Linked DNA regions of Arabidopsis thaliana. The protein of the gene in region 3 interacts with the protein of the main gene of each other region in a biochemical or structural test. Each region holds a gene or a part of one and is shown on either strand. Other genes may lie near its edges.

Region 1 (4,018 bases), on a different chromosome or scaffold from region 3:
TTGTTCTGAAGTTCTCATTTGATTTTTTTTATTAGGTTGGTTGATACTTTTGTTTAGCATGTCAAAAGTCATGCAACTTTGTTAAACTTGTTGTACATTTCTTCGTTATAAACTACTTATACGTAATGTCCTTTGTTAAACTCATATTTCTTTGTTGGTGTTAGGACCTCGAATTTGGAAAATAACAAGAAGGTTGATACGCATAATACAAACTTACAAAAGACAATTAAAAGAGGAAGAGAAGCCAAAACCTAATATCTAAAATATTTTCTTACTGTTAAAGTAGTGATATCTAAAAAATTAAAAACTGTCTTTGGCGAAAAAAAAAAGGGTTCAAGAATAATAACATGTAAGACCACCATGCATCATTCTTATTTCTTCTTTTAGTTTGAACTTCAATAATCCGTCCTCCTCTGTCTTAACCAACTCCTTAATTAATCTGTCTTAAGCTTCCTTAATTTCTACAACACTTCCTTTGTCTCAACCAAATTTGTGTAGTATCATTCATGTCCCACTCTTGTACATCTCTCACTTCTATGCTTAATTGGAAGATTGTATCACAGAACATGCCACAGCTTGTGCCCAATGCCTCAGTCTCGTTTTAACCTGTTGAGGATCATCTCCTGCAAATTTATAGAATATAACATCAAAACACAATCATATTATGAAAATATCAATCTGACGAAAAAGTTTAGGTTGCTATGTTACCTGGAGACATAACCTTCAAAGAATCAGAGTCGCTTATTGGACTACCAAAAGAGGAAGATCGGTCTCCGAGGGAAGTAGGACGGGAGGATGAAGAAGATCCACCACTGCCTGGTGTAGAAACCGGCGAGATCTGACGAGTCACAGCGAAGTAAAGGTCCAATGCAGGCAATGTAGTTGTAAGATGTTGCCCTTGCTCCTCGTTAAACCCGAACCCTAACTCAATAGATCCTTTGAGCTCACTCAAGTCCTCGTCCGTCAAGTCATCTCCTCCTTCGTTATGCTTCTCAAGGTGATGGAGCATCTGGCGACGGCGACGCTCCCATGCGATGTCTCTACGGGTCTCTAACATGGAGAGTTGCTTCGAGAGACGTTTCTTAGCCTTAGCTTTCGGTGGTTCCAATGGCATCTTTTGAAGCTCTTCTACTTCGCTGTCGTAGAAAGATGACGACGATGAGGTTGATACACTCAATGCTTCTCCAACCCTCACCATCTTTCTCTGTTGTTAATATAAGAAATCGCAGGCACGTTTATGATTATCAACAAGGGGCAGAATATTTTTGTGATGATGTGCCTTGTTGTACAAGTTAGCTCATGTAAGCGAGGAAAAACAGAAGAACTTGAATAGATTAGTGAAAATCCCAGAACTCTGATTCCCTTTAAAAAATGTTCATCCCGGAAGAAGAAAAGGGGTAAGAAGTTTTTTCTGTTTGGTTTATTTTATTAATGTACAGAAGGAGATATGTTTTCTGGTGAACTTTAATGGTGTGATATTACAAAACACAGAAACAATGAGTTTCTTCTACCACACATTTGGTGTTGTTTAAAAGTAGGGTTTGTAGAATTTCCATTTGCCATTTTTAAAGGGATCTCTCTGTTAATTCCCTGGGGAGATTCTGGAGCTTGATTGATTATGGAGACAGAATCCAAAAACAAACCTTGGTGGTTTTTGTTGGAATAACTAACTCTTACTTGATATAGGTTTTGTTCTAGAAATTTTTGGTGTTGTTGTTGGTCGAAACATATTACTAACACTTGCAACTAACAAGATGGTATAACCACTAAACTAGTACAAGTATCATTTAGTTAATTAAACATGTTAGTATGTTACAAAATTTACGAATCAATAACGAAATAAGCAAAATAACCAATTCCAAGCCAAGTGGGACAAACTCGACCGAAAAGACCAAAAATCAATCATAATTTGGTATCAAAACCATTATACCGGGAAGTACCAGAATAACTCGGTTGGGCCTAGCCTCTAATAAAAATCGGTCGGGAAAGAAACTCACAACTCTCTCTCACACAGCAACGTTCTATTGAAATTTGGCCTGAATCCCCAGAGTGCGACGAAAATGCAGCAGCAAGTAAGAAAATCATCTCGAATAGGAGTAATTTATTTTGTTAGCATCTTCTTCAATTGATGCTAATGGATGGTTGATGATGATGTTGCAGGGGAGTAAGAGTGGATCTGAGATGGAGGTGACATGGGAGGACCAGCAGAACATTAATATCTTCAGCCGTCTCAACAACAGAGTCCATGACCTCGATGACGATATCAAATCCGCCAAGGTTCTCTCTTTTATGTATCCTTGATTTTTTCTTCTACACGATTCTAGGGTTTTAAGATTAGGTTTTATTCATGGATTCAATTCGCTATGTTGCATCGTTTAGGTGGTGGAATACTGTGATTAGATCCAATCCCGTAATGAATTCACCAAATAATGAATCTACTACACATCGGTTTGCTCTCAGCTAACTGATTAACTCCTTGTTGATGAAATGAAATCAGCACTGCTACAACCCGATACAAAAGCTAATTACAATGATCCTGAGAGTATATGATAAGTGTTGTTGGTCTAGTGTAGGATCATGATTAAGATTATTTGAGATAATTCCTGATTTTATTGATTGTTGTAAATTGTAATTTTACTTCATTCAGATAACCCCACAAGAGAATCTCTATACTCTCATATCTCATTTTACATTCTCTTTAGGTTGTACCAATCTACTGTAACCTGCTTATACCATCCGTGCACTCTTACATATCACTGCTCCCTTAACTTTCTCCTTCGTTGGTGAATATAAGCCTGCTAGGGTATATCAGATCACTGTAATTAGATATTGTAATGGTGTTGATAGTTCAGCATGTGTAGGAAACAAAAAGGGAGATGTGGGACTTTGCAATAATAAGTGGATACTTGTCTTGTTCAATCGTTTCATTAGGGGGATTAAAACAGCATTCTACTGTGTGTTTCTGCATCTAGCTTGATTAAAAAACAATTGATTTATGCAGGAAAAGTGTGAAAATCTAGAGGATGCAGGGAACGAGTTGATCCTTGCTGATGAGGAGATGGTGCGTTTTCAAATAGGAGAAGTGTTTGCTCATGTGCCGAGGGACGACGTAGAAACAAAGATAGAAGAGATGAAAGAAGCGACCTGCAAAAGCCTTGAGAAACTCGAGCAAGAGAAGGAATCAATTGTAACACAAATGGCAGCGCTGAAGAAGGTATTGTATGCTAAGTTCAAAGATTCTATCAATCTTGAAGAAGACTAGTTAGTAGTTATTCCCAACTTTGTTTTTCTTCTATTGCATCAGTTTATGATTCTACTGTGAGTGTAGACCAAAGGATTCTTGAATTTAACATACTGGTTTTGTTCATTATGAAATTTCATCTGGTTAATGCATACTTTTCTTTTTCTATCGGAAATTATGTTTTTGGCAATTCTATAAAATACCATAACACCAATTTGTTTTTTCCCAGAATTTGTATACATTCAAACAAAATGAAACACACACGCCAAAATATAAATACAAGAATCTTTGGGAAATCCAAAATACAAAGCCCTAAATTGATTCCCTTAGCTTCTTCAATCAAAAACCCAAGAAATTACGAGTAATTCTCCAAACCGGTTTACTCAAATTGGGGTATAACTCGACGGTGGCCGGTTACCAGAACCGGCAGACACCAGGCCACCACGGCGAGCACTTTCTTCATCAAGAAACAAATCATCGGTATTACGAAAAGCGCCGTGAGCTCCGACGATGAGCAAACCAATGATCAGCGAAACCAGAACGTTTTCGCCCACATCTGTATATACCAATGCCAAAACCGTTACCAAGCTGAGTAAAACCAGCACGATCTTGTCATCTACTTCTTTCCCCGAAATCACAATCGAATCGTTTGCGTCTCGAGAGAAATAGAGAAGAATCCATCCGATGAAGACGACGATGAAAGCGATCATAGACATCGGATGGTAAATAAGGCCGAGGAAAACAATGGCGAGAACGGCGAGAGCGTAATTTCCACGG
Region 2 (5,426 bases), on a different chromosome or scaffold from region 3:
ACGTATAAGTATACCTTCTATTTTGATGTGTTAAGGAAATATATAGTAAAATAACTTTGACAAAAATAAGGAAATAGTAATACTAATATATAAGTTTTCAAATACTATAAATGTTAAACTTCTTTTTACATCTTCTTTATTAAGCAAATACAAAATTGATTTAACGGTTTGATACATATATATGCATGTTTGTCAAGTCTTATGGTCATGGAGATAGCAAGTCTTAACGGTTTGAGAAATTTGTTTGCCTTTTCTTTTAGCTTTATATTTTCGATATTATGGTCATGGACTGGAGATACCATATTAGTTGACATCACTACGTTTTTAGATGAAGAGATCCTATGAAAGACACTACAAAATGGGCAATGCTTGGCCAATTACATCATTAATTTTCTTGCTTTTGTTTGCTGGCTTTTGTCCGTCTATTTACATATTTTGTGTCACATTGTGAGCTTAGTTGCAAGGACTAAGATTTGTTTGTGCATTTGTATCGATAAGTCTTTGGGACTTGGGAGTGGAACATTTGTAAATATTCACTGTTAAGCTTAATCAAGAATTGCTTTCGTCAAAAGTAATAATAATAGACGAGAAAAGAATAATGATCGGGTATGTATATGAACCTAACTTTCTCATATTTATTCTTTGCACTAAGCCTCTGCAACCTCTATGTATTGATTCCTAGATCTCTGGATCATTACATGTACAGCTCTCTAAGTATACAACCTGAGAAGAGAGGACAAAACAAACCAAAGAAAAACAAGAAACAGATGGCGATATATATACATGTTAGGTCTCTCTGTCAATTTCTCAAAATTGTGTTTGCTTGTGAAAACAGATCTTCTTGTTGCTCCATGGACATTATTAACCTGTTGTGTGGTTTCCGTGATCCTCAGATTCCTTACTACTACTCACCCTGCTCGAACTTGGATACGATGTTGCTTGATTCTAAAATAAGAAAGATAAGAACTTGTGACTTGTAAGCAGAGGAACTAGCCATTTTTGGGAAAAAGATGACTGTTTAGTACCTGAAACTGAGGTGGTTGGGTCGGGTCGGATAAGAAATTGTGTTTGCTTGTGAAAACAGATCTTCTTGTTGCTCCATGGACATTATTAACCTGTTGTGTGGTTTCCGTGATCCTCAGATTCCTTACTACTACTCACCCTGCTCGAACTTGGGTACGATGTTGCTTGATTCTAAAATAAGAAAGATAAGAACTTGTGACTTGTAAGCAGAGGAACTAGTCATTTTTGGGAAAGAGATGACTGTTTAGTACCTGAAACTGAGGTGGTTGGGTCGGGTGGAGACCGCGGAACTGCTGATATGGATCCGTGTAACCAGCTGGATACTGAGGCTGGCCCGAGGTTGGATCATACTGCTGGTTCGGTACAAAGACTCTTGACGGGTCAGAAGCATGAACAGGGTATTGCGGTCCTGACCCGGCCATGTGAGTTTGTGTAGGCAAAGGTCTTTGAGCGGCTAACATGTTGGGGAATGGCATGAAGGAAGGAGGAGGAATAGGCTGGTTCATACCCATACCCATCGCCATATGAGGCATGTACTGTTGCATGCCCGGATACATCATTGGCATCATTCCACATCCCATTGACATCATCTGCATTAATCTCAGTCATATAAACTGGAGTTTTCATGGTAAAGTGTACATTTTCAAGAACTTAAAAAGGGCTTTCAAGACTTAGAATCCTTTAAAGAAAATGAACCTGTATTTGAAGCTGAAGAGATTTCATGTACTCAATAGCTTCATCTAGCATCGAAGCTTTATCTGACTGAGGATCAAAGAAACAACAATCAGTAACAAGGTTAACGTATACAATAACTTGAAGAGAAAGAAAAAAGATCGTCGAAGACCTTGTTGCAGCGAGGTATAAGTTCTTGCAAAGCTTTCATTCTCTCATTGATCCTATCTCTCCGTTTCTGTTACCAAATCCGCGACATTCTTCAGATTCATTGCGAAATCTTTATCGAAAAAGATTACAAAAACATAAGAAAAAACACAAACGTACTCTTTCAGAGAGATTATGAACTTCAGCAGCACGAGATCTCTTGGTAGATGTTGTTGATACACGTGCTTGTTTTGTTTCCTGCACCACAAGAAAACACCAAAAAAGTTAATTAAAAATGCGCTGAAAACTACAAAGTCAGACTAAAATGCGCCGTATTTGACTTGCGCACGATAGCTAACAACGACTCTGTTCTGTGTTTTTTTGACTCACCTCGCTACGGGATTCAGTTTCATCAGTAGTGGTGGCTTCTCTCTCTTTTCGTTTCCTATCATCGACGTTCGTCTTCTCCGGTTCGATTTCGCTCTTTGACACTACAGATGACGATGTACCGGTTATCTCGATCGCCGGCGCCGTCATAGCCACTGCTTTTCCCTTCCGATTATACGCGCCGCCTCCAGCTACGGCGGAACTGTCAGTACCATCCGTCCGCCGTGTTAAACCGGATTCACTCGCCGCCGCCGACGGTGTTGCGCTAGGACTTACCTGCGTAGATTCTCTCACAACCGCCTTCGAAAGCAACGGTCCAGATTCACCACCTCTACCGTTATTAAAATCCCCTCTCAGCCTCGAGAAATTCATGAAGTTCCTCACCGGCGGCCTCGACTCATTCGTCGAAGATACTGGCGGTCTCGCGGCGGTGACTTGACTCACCGTCGCGGTAGCCGTCGCAGTAGGTGCGGCGGAGAAGAGAAGATCTGAGCAGAAATCATCGTCACGGAGAGGATAATGAAGCCAAGAAGTCATTTCATCTTCTTGAATAAAAAGATTCTGATCTGAAGAAGGTTGCTGCTGAGGATCCATAGAAGGAAGAAGCTTCGGTGGAGAAGAAGAAGGTTTCTTGGTGTGAAGTCTCTGGTTTTGAACAACAACTTGACCGTTCTGCCATAAAAGCTCCATAAGATCATCATCTTCACCCCTAAAGTTTTCAATACTATAAATACTCAGATCTTGAACTAATCAAACTTTTTTTTTTTTTTAATATAAGTTTGAATAAAAGAACTTACATAGTAGTAATGGATTTTCTAGGAAGATGATTCAAAGAAGAATTATGGTTGTTGACATAATCATCATCGGTATCGAAGTCAGGGACAAAATGATGCATATCTCTCTCTCTACAAAGATGATGATAATGGTAAGTATTAAAATAACAAACAGTTATCTTCTTCTTCTGGTTTTATAACCAAAAGAAAAACCCCAGAAAGATCCAAAAGAGTAGCACTAGTGAGTAAGTGTACTACACACAGAGATTACTAATCAGTGAAGAAACATATATACTACCCAGACTATATCTAACCTAGAGAATTGAGGTTGGTACTGGATAGGCTTCTCAAAAAAAAAAATATATCACCTTTATTTCTGGGGAACTAGTATTGGATGACTGGATCTTTTTTTTTTTTTTTTTGTGCTAAAGGATGACTGAATCTTATTCTGAATTTTCGTGCTTTAAGAATGTGATAAGCTTCTTAAGGGTTTTTGTCTTTTTCTTATATGTCTCTCTTTGGAGTTTGTTTTTGCCTCTTCCGTGACTCTAGCATGTATCGCATTTACTATTGTGTCAACTAACTTTAACAGTGAATTCTCTATTTTATTTATGTGTGTATGTGTCTGAATAGAAACTTGTGCCCATTTTTTAACCTCTGAATAAAAAACCAAGTTGAACATAAAAACAAAATGTCTGAGATCATTTGTAGCTGACGGAGATAAAATAATCAGCCTCATTGTTTCTCATCCGTACTATAAATTGTTTTCATGGCATTATCATCAAAAAAAAATTATTTTATAAACTTTATCCAATGATCCGGTTAATTTTGGTAAAAATATATTTAAGTATTACAAAATAAATTTATATTCAAGGATCATCACACATTTATTCCGAGTTTAGAATATTAACTGATTAACACTTAAACATAACTGAATCGCATGTTACCAGATTACCATTTAACTTGTCTGGACCAAACCTAGACATCCTACATGAATATAATTTTCTTTTGATAGAAGATCGAATACCGGATGAAATGGTATTTTAGCAATAAGACTTGAAAATGTGGTATTTTGAGAAATGTCTCAAAAAAATATGACTGACACGAAAATAATATTTTGTTTTAAGGGAGCCTCGAATTCTAGAGGAGTATTGTAGCAAAATATCACACTTTCAAGTTGTGTTGTCAAAATACCACCAAAAGTTTTGTTTTCCAAAAATATTATACTTCAATTTTGATTTTCAAGAGTTCATCAGAATTAAAAAAATTAAGTTTGAATTGACCATTTTAATTTTAAGATATTGTTTTTAGGGGTTAGGGTTTAGTGTTTAAAGTTTAGAGTTTAATTTTGAATGTTGGAAGTTAAATTTAAGTTTTATGTTATTTTAAGAAACCAAACATTAAGTGGTATTTTTAAAGAAATAAACAAAAACTTAAGTATCATATTTAAAAATTGTCCTTTTTTATATCGCTAAATTATAGATTTAAGACTACATATATCTTGCAGGAAATATTCCTTTAGTCTTGTGGTTAAATCCATTTGATTCCGCTTTTTCCACCAGAGTTTGACTCCACTAAATCGTGTTATCTTGCATAATAGATATTGGCTATAGAATAGACCATGTCAATCCAAAGATGTTAAAAACAAAAGACTACAACATATGCAAACATGATATTAAAGACTTAAGTGAGTCTCCTCTTCTATAAACAGAAAAGTCGAATGCTACATAAAGTGTTAATTTATAATCATTTATAGTAGTCAAGTTAGTGAACAAAGTGTTAATTTCTTCTATAATACTTCTTTTGTTTCTATTTTGTTCTAGTTTAAGATTTTGGTACATTGATTAAGATCATTTAGTTTCTGTTTTCTTAAATTTTAAAAATATGTTTAATTACATATTTTAAAATAATTTAACCAATAAAAAGTTGCAGAATTTCAAGAATCAAAAATAATAAAATAATAATAAATTTTGCATTGAAAACAACAAATAAAATGAAACAACTTATTTTTTTTTATAATCATTTTACCTTTTGATAAAGAGCATTTATCATTGATATGGGAACACGCACATATATATATATATATACACATTAATATGTATATACATATTTTTATATAATTCCAAGTAGGGAAGAAAGAAACAGAGAATCAGATATGGACTCACATTGGTGGGGACAATATTAAGACAGAAATTGGGTGTTTTTTTTATTGATAATCTCAATGATTTATGAGACAGGGTAATATGTTTATTTTTGTTGCTAAACCACCCTCTTGCATGATCTATCAAACTTAATTATTTATTCTTTTATTCAGATTTAGACATAATCTATAAACATCAATTTTTTCAAGCTAAATTTTGTTGCTAAATCACCCTCTTGCTGTTGTACATTTTTTTTGTCCGCTAAAATGATTTGTACCTATCT
Region 3 (6,066 bases):
AAAAACTAAACCGAAAAACTGGAACCCCCAACCTCACATATTCATCACCATCGTATCCACAAACATTATCGAGACATAAATAATAATTTATAGATATATAGCAACAAATTGGAATTAAATTAATCAAACAATGTCATTTAGAATTGGGGAAATCCTAACCGACGTTATATGATTAATTTTAATTCCAATTTATGTATGTGTATATATCTATAAATTATTATTTATATATTGATGATGTTCGTGCATGATGGTAATGGTAACCTTTAAAACTTTTGAATCTCAAAACGTAAAACAACGTCATTTGGTTTGAAGAACATGCCATCTCGACGTACAAGTGTTAGCTGATTCAACAACCGTTACTGTTAATTACCATAACTAACGTTGACTCATAATTATGTACAAAAGTAAGAGTTGAGGTAGATAATTTGAATTTTTTAAATGTTAAAGTATGAACATTACTAATTGTTTGTTCAGATTTATAAAACACAGTACCTATTTTGATGTGTTAAAATGTAATCGGGAAAATAGGAATTTTCCCAAGAAAAAAAAATACACTAAAATTTTGATGTGTTAAAATGTAATAAATACAAGTACCTATTTCTTTCTACAACAGGTATCACATGATCTGCTCAATCTCATTTTGAAGGCAAGGTCGAACCCTGTTTGTAACTAAATATTTTACAAATACACTAAAAGTTTTGTTTTGTTTTCCTCATGCAGAAAAAAGAAAAGAAAGAAGAAGAAAAAAAACTCACAAAAACATACATTGTTCTACAATATGTTAAAGTAATTGTTCTAGGGTAATAAAATCCGTGTCTGCCTCTTCCACTTCAATAGGAAAGTGTAAGTTTTTCGAATCTTTTTGGCCAGATAATTTAAAACCGACCGAGGAAACTTACTTTTGTAAAAGTGACCATTTGCACATAGGAAGTAGAAAGTTGATAATTGGAAAATTTATAATATTTTATACAAAAGAAGTGTTTAAGAACCACCGCTTGGTCTCACCACTCAAATTCGAACGTATGGCTCGTGGGCACAAACTCCTGTACCAACCTTTAGATACTAGCGGCACGAGGAGACTTCTATTTTCTCTTTGTTTTTAAGTTTTTTTATCGACTTAAATATGGCTTTTTGCACCATTTAATTTCAAAACCAATGTCTTTCTCTCGAGGAACTTTGTTTTTATTTCTTAGAAGATGAGGGGAGATTTACTATCTAAATAAAATTTTAAATGTTTGTAAGTATTATGAGCTCAACAATTTTGTCAATAGTGCCACAAATTTAAACGTTTGCTTTTTGTCTTCTTTGAAAAATCAAATGCTGAAAAACTGTTACATCTCTTTTTCTTAAAAACTCTTGTCTCTCTCCTTTTCCTTCTGCTGAGGTAATTGAATGCTGCAAAGAGAAAGAGAATAACTTAAACCCAAAATTACACTTACCGCCAGAAAAAAAAAAGAGTTCAGTTTAATCTAACATATTTTATACAATACAATTGAATTATATTAGTAAAAAAAAAACTTCCATATAAATCATGGAACAAACTGGAACACATGGGCTCTCTTATTTTAATTTATTTTCTTTTTTGAGGGATTTAACCATGTTTATTATATAGTTTTATAAATATATATATACCATCTCTCCATAATTTATAAAATGAAAGAAAGAGAGAGTCTTCTTGTTGGAGTAAACCCAAACGGTTTTAGATTACTTATTAGCTGTTCATCAGTTCTTCCTCTCTAAAAGAGTAAAACCTAAACATCTCTCTCTGTTCTATTAGAACCAAAGACCAATCTTTGTGAACAAAACACATCTCGTATACTTCAGATCTAGACTCGAAAATTTTAGACCTCTTTACAATTGGTCTTTGTTCATCTGAAGTTGGAGAAAATAGTTAGCTTAGGTCGGATCTTTTCATATGCTTTGGATCCTCCTTCGTCTCTTTTGTATAATTTTAACCTTATCAAGAGTTCTTTTTGAATCTCAAAAGATTATATAGTAGTATAGAAGGTTTATATGTATATGTATAGCCAGATAGTTTATGTTGTTTAAAGATTCGATGATAGCCAAGTTGGGTTAACTTTCTTTTTCCTTGCCTCCTTACTCACATACAAACCCTATCTGTCCGTACAAAATACTAAAAACCCTAACTTTTCTCTCTCCACCAATCTAGTTTATTGTTTCATTTCCACTTCAACGATGAAAAGCTTGCATGTGGCGGCCAACGCCGGAGATCTGGCTGAGGATTGTGGAATACTCGGTGGAGACGCTGATGATACTGTTTTGATGGATGGAATTGATGAAGTTGGTAGAGAGATCTGGTTAGATGACCATGGAGGAGATAATAATCATGTTCATGGTCATCAAGATGATGATTTGATTGTTCATCATGACCCTTCAATCTTCTATGGAGATCTCCCAACGCTTCCTGATTTCCCATGCATGTCGTCTTCATCATCGTCTTCAACATCTCCAGCTCCTGTCAACGCAATCGTCTCCTCAGCCTCTTCTTCTTCGGCAGCTTCTTCCTCCACTTCCTCAGCTGCTTCTTGGGCTATATTGAGATCAGATGGAGAAGATCCGACTCCAAACCAAAACCAATACGCATCAGGAAACTGTGACGACTCTTCTGGTGCATTGCAATCCACAGCTTCCATGGAGATTCCATTAGACAGCAGTCAAGGTTTTGGTTGCGGCGAAGGCGGTGGTGATTGCATTGATATGATGGAGACTTTCGGGTACATGGATCTACTTGATAGCAACGAGTTCTTTGACACCTCAGCTATATTTAGCCAAGACGACGACACGCAAAACCCTAACTTGATGGACCAAACCCTTGAGAGACAAGAAGACCAGGTCGTTGTTCCGATGATGGAGAATAACAGTGGTGGAGACATGCAAATGATGAATTCTTCCTTGGAACAGGACGATGATCTCGCTGCTGTGTTTTTGGAGTGGCTAAAGAACAACAAGGAGACTGTGTCGGCTGAGGATTTGAGGAAAGTAAAGATAAAGAAAGCTACGATTGAATCAGCGGCAAGAAGACTAGGCGGTGGTAAAGAAGCGATGAAGCAGCTTTTAAAGCTGATTCTTGAATGGGTCCAAACTAATCACTTACAAAGAAGACGCACCACCACCACCACCACCAACCTCTCTTATCAACAATCATTCCAACAAGATCCATTTCAAAACCCTAACCCTAATAACAACAACCTAATCCCACCGTCCGACCAAACCTGTTTCTCACCTTCAACATGGGTTCCTCCACCACCACAACAACAAGCTTTTGTCTCGGACCCGGGTTTTGGATACATGCCTGCTCCAAACTATCCGCCACAGCCAGAGTTCCTTCCTTTACTTGAATCTCCACCGTCATGGCCACCACCACCACAGTCTGGTCCCATGCCACATCAACAATTCCCCATGCCGCCAACCTCGCAGTATAATCAATTTGGAGATCCAACAGGTTTCAATGGATACAACATGAATCCGTACCAATATCCTTATGTTCCTGCAGGACAAATGAGAGATCAGAGATTACTCCGTTTGTGTTCCTCAGCAACTAAAGAGGCAAGAAAGAAACGGATGGCGAGACAGAGGAGGTTCTTGTCTCATCACCACAGACATAACAACAACAACAACAACAACAACAATAATCAGCAGAACCAAACCCAAATCGGAGAAACCTGTGCCGCGGTGGCTCCACAACTTAACCCCGTGGCCACAACCGCCACGGGAGGGACCTGGATGTATTGGCCTAATGTCCCGGCAGTGCCGCCTCAATTACCGCCAGTGATGGAGACTCAGTTACCTACCATGGACCGAGCTGGCTCAGCTTCTGCTATGCCACGTCAGCAGGTGGTACCAGATCGCCGGCAGGTAGACATGCACAATCATCTTTCTCATTGTTTATTCTTTAATTTAGCAATACTCGAATAGTTTGTGTAATTGCACCACTCGTTTGGTTTGATGAAGAAGCTAAAGATTTTACATGTGTTTTTTTTGATAAAATGTGAATCGGAAGATTATACATTTGCAATGGAAATGAAATGATTTTGATCTTTTTGGTTTGATTTTAGGGATGGAAACCAGAAAAGAATTTGCGGTTTCTCTTGCAGAAAGTCTTGAAGCAAAGCGACGTGGGTAACCTCGGAAGGATCGTTTTGCCAAAAGTAATTTTTCTTCTAATTTCTTGTAGCCTTTGCTTTCCATTTTCTAAAAAAGGTTCAATGTTTGTGTAAAAATATTGTCAAGTTTTTATTTTATTTTTACTCTTATTGGTTAAGTTATATTTTACTGAATTTTTATTTTTTTTAGAAAGAAGCTGAGACACACTTGCCGGAGCTAGAGGCAAGAGACGGCATCTCTCTGGCCATGGAAGACATCGGAACCTCTCGTGTTTGGAACATGCGCTACAGGTAACTGATTATGATGCTAACATGTTAACATTGATTCTTTTTATAAAAACAATTCGTGTATTTTGTCAAAAATTGGAACTCGACCAAAATGTTTTTTCGGTTATTTAATTGTCTTCTTAAATTGGTTTTGCAGGTTTTGGCCTAACAACAAAAGCAGGATGTATCTCCTCGAGAACACCGGTACGTTTTTGAAAATGTACCCGTTAATAATTTTCCTTTCTTTTGGTTTGTTTGTTCTCTTGTAATTATTGTTGTGGACGCATACATATCTAATTTTCCTTGAAATTACGTTTACAGGCGATTTTGTGAAAACCAATGGGCTCCAAGAAGGTGATTTCATAGTCATATACTCCGACGTCAAATGTGGCAAATATGTAAGAGAAGCATCACAATATTTTTCTATACTTTTCATTAGTATTTAACTCTCATCATTACTTTTGTTGGTATTTATCTTGTCATAATTAATTGAGAATAATATTATGACAGTTGATACGAGGGGTTAAAGTAAGACAACCGAGCGGACAAAAGCCGGAGGCCCCACCGTCGTCAGCAGCTACGAAGAGACAAAACAAGTCGCAAAGGAACATAAACAATAACTCTCCGTCGGCGAATGTGGTGGTCGCTTCACCAACTTCTCAAACTGTTAAATGAAAAACAGAGACAAAAAGAAACAATATAAATATTATTATGTACCAAATAAGAAAGAGGGCAAAAGGAAAAAATGGCAGCGTACCCGAGTGTGCCACTTCTCGTGCATGCATGGGATCTTGAAGACAAATGGAGGGTCATGATTAAAGCTGTTTGGTCGGGGTCCGGGTTTTTACTCCATTTTTTGCTTTTTCTTGTCGAGTCGGTTCTTTTATAACTCTTTACTCTTTTTACCTTCAGGATATTGTAGAGATGATTAATTCTGGAAATGGTGTTTGTGTTATATTTCTGGAGAGATGATTATATAGTTCTTTTGTTGTTGTAATTGGTTAATATTACATATGTGGCTCATTTCTTGAGTCGAGCTTACATATCGTTTATAATGTGAATGTTTTAAGAAGAGTTGAATGATACAATATTTTTACACAAACATTGATAATGATAATAAAAATGATAATTAATGTACAAAATTATTTGTAAATATGGACATATGGACAATTTAAGAAGGAATTGAGATAATTAATTTTGTACATTAATTATCATTATCAATGTACAAAATTATTTGTAAATATGGACATATGGACAATTTAATGATAGTAAAAATGATAATTAATGATAATTAATGTACAAAATGATAATTAATGTACATATGGACATATGTACAAAATTATCCATATCATTCACATATTCACATTGTAAATATTTGTAAATAGAATGTTTACATATGGACATTTTAAGAAGAGTTGTTCCTTACCACTTTGATTCTATCATTTTCTTGTTTATCTAGTTAGCTTGAACCCTTTGTATTATTGAGTAACGAAAATCTTTGGAGGAAAAAAACAAGTGAGGTAGGATTATAATTTTCCTCATATAAGTGTGTTGTTTGTGATACATCATTATTCTTTCTTATTTTTGGTTAAACCCAAAAACTGGACCGCACCTAAGGAATTGAGATATTCAAAAAAACAATGATCTGACCCGTGCCAAATATCCACACCACACC

Evidence for each region. Proteins that work in one complex are often made in the same cells at the same time.
Region 1: the proteins of ABI3 (region 3) and AIP3 form a complex in vitro, tested with the Arabidopsis thaliana proteins (one study listed by BioGRID).
Region 2: the proteins of ABI3 (region 3) and PIL5 form a complex in vitro, tested with the Arabidopsis thaliana proteins (one study listed by BioGRID).

Annotation. Positions count from the first base shown.
Region 1 is NC_003070.9:2,809,169-2,813,186, reverse strand, and holds AIP3 (ABI3-interacting protein 3), read left to right. Parts: upstream 1-1,873; 5' UTR 1,874-2,060; coding exon 2,061-2,072; intron 2,073-2,160; coding exon 2,161-2,277; intron 2,278-3,001; coding exon 3,002-3,262; 3' UTR 3,263-3,409; downstream 3,410-4,018. Other genes in the region: AT1G08790 (1-phosphatidylinositol-4,5-bisphosphate phosphodiesterase epsilon-1, putative (DUF1685)), read right to left, coding at 541-623, 709-1,198; PRA1.E (prenylated RAB acceptor 1.E), read right to left, coding at 3,625-4,018.
Region 2 is NC_003071.7:8,703,415-8,708,840, forward strand, and holds PIL5 (phytochrome interacting factor 3-like 5), read right to left. Parts: upstream 3,591-5,426; 5' UTR 3,371-3,590; exon of another isoform or gene 3,135-3,370; 5' UTR 3,125-3,134; coding exon 3,027-3,124; intron 2,939-3,026; coding exon 2,233-2,938; intron 2,101-2,232; coding exon 2,023-2,100; intron 1,934-2,022; coding exon 1,868-1,933; intron 1,786-1,867; coding exon 1,720-1,785; coding exon of another isoform or gene 1,705-1,719; intron 1,614-1,704; coding exon 1,275-1,613; intron 1,195-1,274; coding exon 1,111-1,194; 3' UTR 1,026-1,110; intron 946-1,025; coding exon of another isoform or gene 862-945; 3' UTR 610-861; downstream 1-609. UniProt on the Arabidopsis thaliana protein: Transcription activator. Negatively regulates chlorophyll biosynthesis and seed germination in the dark, and lightinduced degradation of PIF1 relieves this negative regulation to promote photomorphogenesis.
Region 3 is NC_003074.8:8,995,715-9,001,780, forward strand, and holds ABI3 (AP2/B3-like transcriptional factor family protein), read left to right. Parts: upstream 1-1,655; 5' UTR 1,656-2,196; coding exon 2,197-3,876; intron 3,877-4,076; coding exon 4,077-4,169; intron 4,170-4,314; coding exon 4,315-4,415; intron 4,416-4,548; coding exon 4,549-4,595; intron 4,596-4,712; coding exon 4,713-4,789; intron 4,790-4,901; coding exon 4,902-5,066; 3' UTR 5,067-5,471; downstream 5,472-6,066. UniProt on the Arabidopsis thaliana protein: Participates in abscisic acid-regulated gene expression during seed development. Regulates the transcription of SGR1 and SGR2 that are involved in leaf and embryo degreening.